Linked DNA regions of Oryctolagus cuniculus. The protein of the gene in region 2 purifies or fractionates together with the protein of the main gene of each other region. This does not show direct contact. Links are inferred from orthologs where the notes say so. Each region holds a gene or a part of one and is shown on either strand. Other genes may lie near its edges.

Region 1 (3,650 bases), on a different chromosome or scaffold from region 2:
ACTCATGCATTATTTCAATCTAACAACCTTATGAAGTATGAATATGTACTATTACAAAACTGAACATCAGAGAGTTACTTTAGAAGGGCTCTTTGGCTAATAAGGGATACTTAGAGCATTTAGAGAAGTATTAAAACAAAATAATGAAATGCTTAGAAAGTTCTTTTTGTTCAATCTGTATAAATTCTAGTTTTATACTCACCTGCCTCATTTTAGCATGAATATAGAAGCAAGAATAACCCAGTTGAGAAATCTTCTTGGCTAGCAATTCAACTCTCTGAGAGGAATTACAGAAAATGATTGACTGGTTTATCTGAAGCTACAGGGATGAAAAGGAAAAACAAAAATCTTAAGTTGGTTTGCCAAGTTTTGAAAATACTGATTAGTAAAAAAGAAATGTTAATAACATGGTCTAAAATTCAGAATCTCAAAATACAAGAGACAGAAGTTGTAAAAATTGTAAATATGGAGCAGGCATTTAGTACAGCACTTAAGATACCACTTGGGACATCTACACCCTGTATCAGAGTGCCTGGGTTAGTGTCCTAGCTCAGTTCCTCCTACCTAGCGTCCTCCTAATGTGTACTCTAAGGAGACAACAAGAGGTTTAAGTATTTGGGTCCCTCCTACCCACATGGGAGACCTGGACTGAATTCTGGACTCCCTAGCTTTGGTGTGGTCCAGCCCCAGCTATTATGGGCATTTGGTATGTGAACCAGCAGATCTGTCTCTCTGCCCTTCAAATAACATCAGAGAAAAAGGTATAAAGAAACTTTTAAGTTCTTATCCAACTTAATAGCTGCAGAAAATTTGTTTTATTATAGAACAGTGTATTTCACAAGGATCACATTAAGTGCCAATGTGCAAGATATAGCCAATTTTTATTCACACTACTCATTTTCTATAAAATCACTGAAAACACTGATTTAGAAAAAATACAATCAGTGCTATTAGGGAAATACAGTACTAGGCTTCTGATCATAACTTTTTCATTAATACAGCAGTATGTAACTTTGTTTTATACATATTTCTGTTTAAGGATGTCTCGTATTCACTTGAAAACCAATACCATGATAACTCATGTTTGCAAAAAACTTACCTAACACACATTTTCTCTGCAAGGCACATCCCAACATCAATATTTTGAGACTGAGGAATACCAAGCAACACCTTAGCACTATGTGTTAAGGGTCATTTTAAACAGTGAAATAATCAACTTTTAAAAAGCATAAAAAATGGGGCACTAAACAGACTCTGAAAAGGACATCTGTTCATAGTGTGACAGCTAAAACCAGAAGGCAGTGTTGCCTGGAGCAAGTATTGTGGTAGGTGGGTTAAACTACCATTTGCAATGCCTGTATCCATGTAAGAGTACCACTTTGAGTCCTGACTACTCTGTACTTCTAATCCAGCTCCTTGCTAAAATGCTTGGGAGGCAGAGGATGATGGCTCAAGTGGCTGGGTTCATGTTATCCTCGTGGGAGATCCAGATGGAATTGTTGGCTCCTGACTCCAGCAGGCCTACCCCTGGCTGTTTTAGCCATTTGGGGAGTGGAGAGTGGATGGAAGATATCTATCTCTGTCACTCTGCCTTCAAAAAAAAAAAAAAAAAAAAAAAAAAAAAAAAAAAGGGCAGGGGCTGGTGGCGTAGCAGGTAAAGCCAATGCCTACAGTGCTGGCATACCATATGGTGCTGGTTTGAGTCCTGGCTGCTCCATTTCTGATCCAGCTCTCTGCTATGGCCTGAGAAAACAGTGGAAGATGGCCCAAGTCCTTGGACCCCCCGCACCCACTTGGGAGACCTGGAAGAAGCTCCTGGCTTCGGACAGGCATAGCTCCGGCCGTGGCAGCCAATTGGGGAGTGAACCAGTGGGATGGAAGACCCCCCCACCTTCTCTCTCTCTCTCTCTCTGCCTCTCCTTCTCTGTATAACTCTGACTTTCAAATAAATAAATAAGTAAAAATAAATAAAAGCAGTACTGCCATTTTAGACCTTAACTGAGAATGTGTGTTATCAACTGACTCAATTTTTTTGCCACATTGTAAATATCCACAAACAATTGTGAAAGGGCATCAAGTATTGAATTGGAAGTTATAAAAAATCTGCAAAGGGGACAGTGCTGTGGCGTAGCAGGTAAAGCCGTCGCCTTCAATGCCAGCATCCTTTATGGGTGCTGGTTCCAGTCCCCGCTGCTCCACTTCTGATCCAGCTCTCTGCTATGGCCTGGGAAAGATGATCCAAGTCCTTGGGCCCCTGCCCCCATGTATGAGACCCAGAGGAAGTTCCTGGCTCCTGGCTTCAGATCAGCACAGCTCCAGCCATTGTGGCCATTTGGGAAGTGAACCAGTGGATGGAAGACCTCTCTCTCTGGCTCTCCTTCTCTCTCTGTGTAACTCTTTCAAGTAAATAAATAAATCTTAAAAAAAAAAAAAAATCTGCAAGTAGACAGATTCACAAACAATTTTTGAGTAATGAGGACCAACTGTATTAATATCAAGCTATTTTAAAATAAAAGTACTATATCAAACAGTATCAATTTGAGATCAACACATGAAACTGTAAGGAAACACAAGACTTTACAGTGAAGATGGTAGAAAAATTGCTACAACTGTCATTCAGAAAGGGAAGCTACTACTGACCCTGGAGAAAAGTGTGTTGAGGCAGTGTACTTTTTGGCGCTCAGTTACATATGCGTAGTACTGGGTTACTCCCTTCAGAGTTAGTTCCTCCATCAGGTTAATCTCATAGGGTTTCTGTAAATGGGAATTCTGAAAAATAAAGAAAAAAAGACATGCTTAAATGAAAGCAGATTTTCTTTTAAACTCAAAACATATACTAACATTCCTGTCAAACATTTGCTTTAAGGGATCTCTCTTCAAAACAAGAATACATCACGTCTCATGGAAGAAACATATTACCACAAGATGTGGTATCTCAGATTCAGAAATGTAGCAAAGTTATTATGGTCTATTTTGAATACAGGATAATGTAATCAATGTACTTATTAGAATCAATGACTATGTCAGCCTGAGAAAAGCAAGGTAAAACATGAAGAACTTAACCAAGCAACTACTTATTAATAGCTTTTTAAAAAAATGTTAACTTACATACAACAAAATCTTAACAGAGCAGCTGAAGGGCAAAAAGTTGAAATAATCAGCATATACAGATACATCAATAAAAGATGTAATTATGGATAAATCAAAGTCACATGCAGAAGGATGACATTGCAGAAGTTTATACTCACCATGAATTTTTGTACACTAAGAGGGAACGTAGCGGAATATAGTAAAATCTGCCTGTTTTTAGGTAGCGTGAGAATAATATCCTCCATTATCTGCACAAAATCCTGTGACAGCAACTTATCTGCCTGTTGACCAAAGAAAAAACATTTTTTGAAAAAAAATTAAAAATGTCAAAGAATAAACATCGAATAAAAGCATCCATGTAATATTCCTAGTTGTAAACAGGAAATTCACTCCAAGACACAAAGTTCAATGGTAACAAACTTCCAGTGATTCAGATGAGAAGTCTATATAACCTCCATCTTTTACAAAAAAACTCCAGACCAATTAAACCCTGTTTTCCATGGCAGAATTTTAATGTGATTCTCTTTAAAGAGGTAGTTATGTACAGTGGTTAACAGTAC
Region 2 (3,750 bases):
AGCAGGAAGCCCCCACCCCACCCCCTGGAGCTACCCTGTGGGCAGGGGTCAGGGTCAGAGGGGGCGGGGAGGCCCAGGGCCCAGGGCGAGGGGCTCACTCTGTAGGCGTGGGTTGGGGCTCCGCTCCACGTACTGCACAGGCCTGGGCCCACGCTCCCCGGCCCGGCCGACGTCCAGCTGCCGCTCCACCTGCTGCCAGGCTGTGGGGGTAGGGCAGTCAGCCGAGCCAGGCCCCCCGGCAGCCCCTCGCACCCGGGGTCACCCTGGACTCCAGCCCGGCACAGGGAGTGAGCAGTGTGTTCAGGGAGCTGGCCGCCTGCCAAAGCCGAGCCTGCCCCGCGGCCGTGGGAGTCGGGTTGCAGCAGGAGGAGCCCCAGGGGCCCAGGCCGCCCCCTCACTACCTTCGGACACAAAGCGGACGTTCTCCTCGTGGGCCAGCGTGTAGGTCTCCTGAGTGCCCTCCAGGGACGGGGACGTGGCGTGGGGCCGCCGGCCGTTCACGCGATTGAACACCAGCCTGGGCCCCGGACTGCGGGAGGGGAAGAGGCATGTGGTCGGCACCTGGTGGGTTGGCCACTGTCCGGTGGCCCCGAGCCCCCGCGGCTCCGGCCACACCTGCGGCCCTGCCCTGAGGGAGGTGGGCGATGCAGGCCAGGGAGGGGCCCCGGTTCTGTCGGCACAGCTTCTCGGGGTCGTGGGAGCAGGGTGGTCTCTGTCGGTCCGTCCCTCTCCCAGGCTGCCCCCAGGCCCCCCGGCGGCTGAGCACTGGGCACCGGGCAGCCCCTGAGAGGCAGAGTGGCTGCAGCCTGGCCCCACTCCCCGCGGAGCGAGATGGCCCCCCACCCGCGTGGCAGCTCGTGACATCCAGGGGGCCGCTGGGCCCGCCCCGGCCAGCGGCAGCCAGCTCAGCCCTGCGAGGGGAGGGGCCGCACCTACAGCAGGAGGTGGGAGCCGGGAGTCCTGCTCGCGTCCTGGGCTCAGGTGCCCCAGCGCTGCTCTGGCTTCCTCCTCAGCTGAGAGGGCCACTACAATAAAGAGGAGCGTCCTGAGGGGCCGGCAGGGGTCTGAGGGCCGCAGGGGAGACCGGGCGGGGGCGGGGCTCCCCGGCCTGCGTGCTCTGTGAAGCCGGGGTTCGCCATAAAGCTCCGTCCTCAACTCGGAAAGCACCCCCACCCCGACCCATTGCCAGCTGCAGGCCGGGGCGCTCGGGGAGACGCAGGAAGCAGCTGCACCGAGGGCCTGGCTCCGTCCTGCGGGGGACGCCCGGGCCCCAGTGTGCGCCCCGGACACGCGTCCCCTCCACGGCCCGCGAGGCAGGCCACCCGCCCGCCTCGAGTCCAGCAGCTTTGCGGGTCATGTCTGCGGGTGGGGGCAACGGTCGGGACCTCACGGCCCAGTCCCTGCCTGGCCACACAGGAGCTGCCGCCACTTCTCCCGGGTCAGGAGACCACGGGGCCCACCCTGCCCGTCCCGGCTTTTTGCTGCCCCGACTCGGCCTCGGCCACTGCCAGCAGCGGCCCCACGGGTCCCCGGTCAGCAGGGGGGTGGGGGGTGAAAGGCGGGATGGGGGCCAAAGCAGAGCTGGTGTGGAGTGGCCCATAAGGGATGGAGGGGCACGTGGGGGCCCACTGGTGGGGGTGGGCACCCCTGCCCAGCAGGTTTGGCCTTTACGGAAACAGGTGCGCAAGAGGGCCTTGGCCCTCCCCCAACTCTGCCACAGACCCCCCCCTTCCCCTCCCCAGCCAGGGGGTCTCGGAGGGCAGGAGGGCGGGCACCTGGCCCTGGGCCACAGTGCTCCGGGCTTGGGTGGTGTGTGGCAGCCTCCCCAGAGAGCAGGACAGAGGCCCCCGCCCGGGGCATCTGACTACCGGGAACAAGTGCGGGCCCGAACGCCCTTTGCCCGCCCTCCACTGCCTCAGGGGGTCCCGGGCCGCTGGGCCCCTGCGCAGCGCCCCCACCCGGGCGGGGCCAGAGCAAAGTCCGCCGCGGCCGGGAGTAAGCACTCCAACCGCCCGCGGGACGGGGCCAAGGAAGGGAAAGGTTCAGCCGGCCCGGGCGCGGCGGCCTCGCGCCCTTGGCAGCCTCAGCCTCTGCTGCGGGGACGGGGCGCCCCGGGGCCCAGGGCGTCCCGGGCGAAGGGCGCCGAAGGGCAGCTGCCTGGCAGGCCCGGGGCAAACACGTGCACCGCTCCCCGCCCAGCTGCGCAAGGACGCAGTCCGAGACCTTGAGGGCCCGCGCCCGGGCAGCTCGCAGACCTTGACAGCAGCGGCTCCAAAGGGGGTCTGGGCGCCGCAGCCCAAGGTCGCCCGGCCTCCTCCGAGCTCACGCGACAGGAGGCTGTGCTGTGCGCCCACCTGCCCGGGCCCCGGCCTGGCCAGGTGAGGCGGAAGTGGGGCGCCGGCGCGCGGTGCTCGCACGTGGTAGGGACCCTCCCGCCTCCGCTCAAGGTGACCCCGGGCCGCGACTGCGCTCACCTCGACAGGGGCCAGGGTCCGGGCTGCTGCGCGGAGGGCTGCGCCCGCGGGGGCTGCAGGGTCGGCGGCGCGGGCTGCCGGCATTTCAGGAGCTCGCCGAGTCTGCTCTCCACCTGCTGCTGCGAGGGACCTGCGGGCGAGCGGAGGGCGCGTCAGCCGCCGCGGGTCCCCGCGCGGACCCCGGCCCGGCGCGGACCCCGGCCCGGCGCACCTGTGCGGCGCTGCGCGACCAGCTTGCTGGGCCCCTTGGTGATGGTGTACATGGCGGAGTGGCCGCCGCGCCGCCCACGCGCTCGCCCGCACGCGCAGCGGCCAGTCCCGCGCCCGCCGCCTGCCTCGCACTTGGCGGGCGCAGAGGGCGCGGCCCCTTTAAGCGGGGCCGGCGCGGCGACAGGGGGCGGGTCCGCTCCACGCCCCCCGGCCCTTAAAGGGCCCGCGGGCTCCGGCCACTCGCGGAGAGCCGGGGGCAAGGGGGGCGTGGCCAGGGGCGGAGCTGCGGGCGTCTGTGCGGACGCCGGGGAGACTCCGTCCGCCTAGCCCACCGCGGGCTCGGCCCCCGGACTCGGCTGTGGGTGGTCGGGCCCCTGCCAGCCCCGAGGGCGGCCCGGGCCGGGCGGGGCGTTCCTCCGGGTCTGGGATGGAGCCGGTACCCTCACCCCTCCCAGGCAGGGGCTGCTCAGAGACCCCCGTCCCGGCCCGCAGCGCCAGCTGTCCGCAGCCGGGGGTTCCGTGCTCGCGGCCTCGGGCCCCCTGCTGAGAGCTGACAGCCCAGGGCACTGTCAACGTGCAGGGTCTGTGGGGTCCAGCAAGGGCGCTCAGGCTGCTGTGGGCACCTGCACACCTGGAAAGCAGTGGGGTGGCCAGACTGGAGGAGGAGCCCTCCCCCGACCTGCACCTGCTCCTCCTCCCTCCTGGCCTCCCTGGGACCCAGGGTGGCCGGGCTGTCCCGGTCAGCTCTCCATCCTGTTCTCTCCGACCTACTGGACCAAGGCCAGGGACCCTGGGAGCAGGGAGCAGGGACGGCGTCCAGGCCCCACCCCGCAGAGGGCAGCGAGGACAAGGCGTCTTCTCCACCGGCCCCTGTCAATCTCATCAACAGAGATTTTATTTTTTCTCCGGAAGAAGCTCATGCTGAGGGTTAAGGTCCAAGATGCAGGAGGCCCAGTTTCCCACCGCCCTCGCTGGGTTTGCAGGTCTAAAATCTGTGCCCTGACCCTCCAGCCGAGGCTGGGCTCGGGCTGGGCTTCTGCCCGCAGAGGGGTGCCCCGGAGGCCCC
Region 3 (2,697 bases), on a different chromosome or scaffold from region 2:
GATGACTGGTGTGATGTCTCTGGAACTCCAGGACTCCCACCTTGGAGGGCTGAGTCTGAAGTCCATGATCCCTGCCAAGCTTGCGTGTGTGTGTGTGCGTGCGTGCACGCGGAGACAAGAAATGTATGTACACACATGTATAGTGATAAAGCTGTAGAGACATAGCAAAGCAGACACAGAAAGGAAAAGAGTGGGCTGCATTCCAAAGTCAAAGATGTTCTGAAGGTCTCAGGTGGGCAACGTTCAAGGACTGACCAATTAGCAACTCTGCTGAGCCCATTACAAAACCACACATACATTAATACAGGGCCAAATCACGTGTGTTTGAGCGGGAAAAGGGAGAACAGGCAAACAGCGTCACACACAGGGTTTCCTAGCTGGGAGAGCGAGCGGCTCTTCGCTGCTTGTCTGATAACCTTCACCGTCTACCTGCTCTGACAGCTGGCTTACCTGAGGTACGTGGGCCATGTGGGCTGGGTTGGTATACGCCGGCTGGACGTGAGAAGGGTGGATCGTGAAGACGGTCTGCTGTGCTGCTGGGAAACCGCTCTGTGGCGACTGCGTGTTGGAGGCAGGTGTCATGGAAGGGGGGGTTGGAGCGAGCCCCGCGTGGTAGATGGCTGACTGCTGCTGTGGACTGGCCAGGTGGAGAGCTTGGGCGGCCTGGTGCTGATGGTGCTGCAAAATGATGGCGAACAACTGAGAGGAGAACTCCAATGCACTCCAAGCAGCTGGAGGTTACAAAAAAACAGGCTTCACATGGGCCCAACTGGCGTGAGGGGTGCTGGAAGGCACAGGGAGTGACAGCAGGGCTGGGGGCCTCCTGTCTAGAGACAGCCCTTTCTGGAACACAGGAGCCCAGTCCTCAGTCTGGCAGTAACAAACTCCCAACCAAACAGTGGTCAGCCAAGACCTCCGCCAGAGATGAAGCCAAGCCAGCAAGGAAAAAAAACACAAGTCTGGGCAGTTCAAGCCAGCAGCTAAGCTGCTGGCGAAGGTGCCAGCACCCCTGTCGGAGTCCTGCACCTGCTCCCTGGCTCCAGCTTCCTGCCAGTGCAGACCACAAGAGGCAGCACTGACGGCTCAAGTACTTGGGTTCCTGTCACCCACACAGCAGACCTGCACTAAGTTCCTGACTCCCAGCTGCAGCTTAGCCCTGGATAATGGTTGTTGTGGGAGTGAACCAGCAGACAAGAACTCACTTGCCTCTGCCTCTCAAATAAATCAAATTTAAAGAAAAAAAATCTCATCAACTTTTAGAATGAAGTAAAAAAGTCCAAAGGAAATAGGAATGTTAAATTATGAACATTTTGTCAATAAGATTTTCCAACATCAATCTGTTTCCAGAGCCCATCCACTTGTCCCCCACCCCAGGGCCCAGCTGTGCACTGCAGCCCTGAGGGCGGACGTGCAGTCTGACCAGGGAGCAGGCCAAGCCTCGCCTAGTGCTGGACACAGCAAGGCTCTGCAGGCCTCCAGGCAGCTCCTTACCTGAACAGGACTGGGTGCAGGATGACTCCCACCATGCTGACTCTGCTGCTGTCCGGTAGGTGTCGCTGAAGGCTGAGGATGTGGAGTATGTGGGTGCAGGGTAGCATTAGGATGTGCGTACTGCTGAGCAAGGGAGCCCGTGGAAACTAGAGTGGAAGAGAAGGGAGCATGTGCATCCGGCGCGTGGTGGCCCTCCTCACCAGGCCCCCCCGCCCAGCCCTGGCGGCAAAGCCTCTATCAAGCCACGGCCAGTCTCAGCAGCGGGCTCCATTTACACCCGTCACTGTCTTGAAATAATAACTTTAACAAGAAGACTAGTCTCTGATTCATTATCAAACTGATTAATAAACAGCTGTGTGTATATACATATATATATAAAATCCAATTTTTAATTCACTTTAAAAATAGTCACTAGGTTTTCCTGAAAAGGCTACATAAAAGCATAGGCAGAAATAACTCAAACAGCTGTGCAAGATACACACACACACACACACACACACACTCCCTCCCGCTTCAGTTCAAGGCCATCATCTGGCTAACCTCACCATGCTACTGCCCTGGAGCTGGCACAATGTCCTGCAGCCACAGACTACAGGGGCTGCATCAAGTATGAGGCAAGGTCAGGGTTCTACTACCAGGGCCAATGACCACAAATCTCTTTCAGTCGATCACAGGAGCTGCTCTGACGCTCAGCTCATTCCCCAGGCCCTACTCAGTCTTCCCACTTCTGCTTTTTAAAAATCTAGATGAAATGACCTGACCTACACAGAAAAATTAACTTCCCTCAAAGTGTTCCAGCCCTTTAGAATGAATTCTACTGGCTAGAATGACTTCAAAGAAAACGTGATCAGTTCACATTAACATGTTTATGGGGTCTGTGCTGTGGGATAATGGGTAAAGCCACCACCTGCAGTGCCAGTATCCCACATGGGCACCGGATGGAGTTCCAGCTGTTCCACTTTTTTTTGGGGGGGGGGGCAGGCAGAGTGGACAGTGAGAGAGAGAGAGACAGAGAGAAAGGTCTTCCTTTTGCCGTTGGTTCACCCTCCAATGGCCACCAAGGCCGGCGCGTTGCAGCTGGCGCAGCGCGCTGATCCGAAGCCAGGAGCCAGGTACTTCTCCTGGTCTCCCATGGGGTGCAGGGCCCAAGCACTTGGGCCATCCTCCACTGCCTTCCTGGGCCACAGCAGAGAGCTGGCCTGGAAG

Evidence for each region. Proteins that work in one complex are often made in the same cells at the same time.
Region 1: the proteins of MCRIP2 (region 2) and DDX6 purify together in Homo sapiens (co-immunoprecipitation; 5 studies listed by BioGRID and IntAct, with this or other methods). This does not show direct contact. The link is inferred for Oryctolagus cuniculus from reciprocal best matches to the Homo sapiens genes MCRIP2 and DDX6.
Region 3: the proteins of MCRIP2 (region 2) and ATXN2 purify together in Homo sapiens (co-immunoprecipitation; 3 studies listed by BioGRID and IntAct, with this or other methods). This does not show direct contact. The link is inferred for Oryctolagus cuniculus from reciprocal best matches to the Homo sapiens genes MCRIP2 and ATXN2.

What each region holds. Positions count from the first base shown.
Region 1 is NC_091432.1:111,492,147-111,495,796, reverse strand, and holds part of DDX6 (probable ATP-dependent RNA helicase DDX6), read right to left. Parts: intron 3,372-3,650; coding exon 3,249-3,371; intron 2,770-3,248; coding exon 2,641-2,769; intron 320-2,640; coding exon 203-319; intron 1-202.
Region 2 is NC_091450.1:34,051,784-34,055,533, forward strand, and holds the start of MCRIP2 (MAPK regulated corepressor interacting protein 2), read right to left. Parts: upstream 2,844-3,750; 5' UTR 2,738-2,843; coding exon 2,686-2,737; intron 2,605-2,685; coding exon 2,475-2,604; intron 530-2,474; coding exon 402-529; intron 201-401; coding exon 99-200; intron 1-98.
Region 3 is NC_091452.1:8,885,079-8,887,775, forward strand, and holds part of ATXN2 (ataxin-2), read right to left. Parts: intron 1,638-2,697; coding exon 1,492-1,637; intron 679-1,491; coding exon 451-678; intron 1-450. UniProt on the Homo sapiens protein: Involved in EGFR trafficking, acting as negative regulator of endocytic EGFR internalization at the plasma membrane.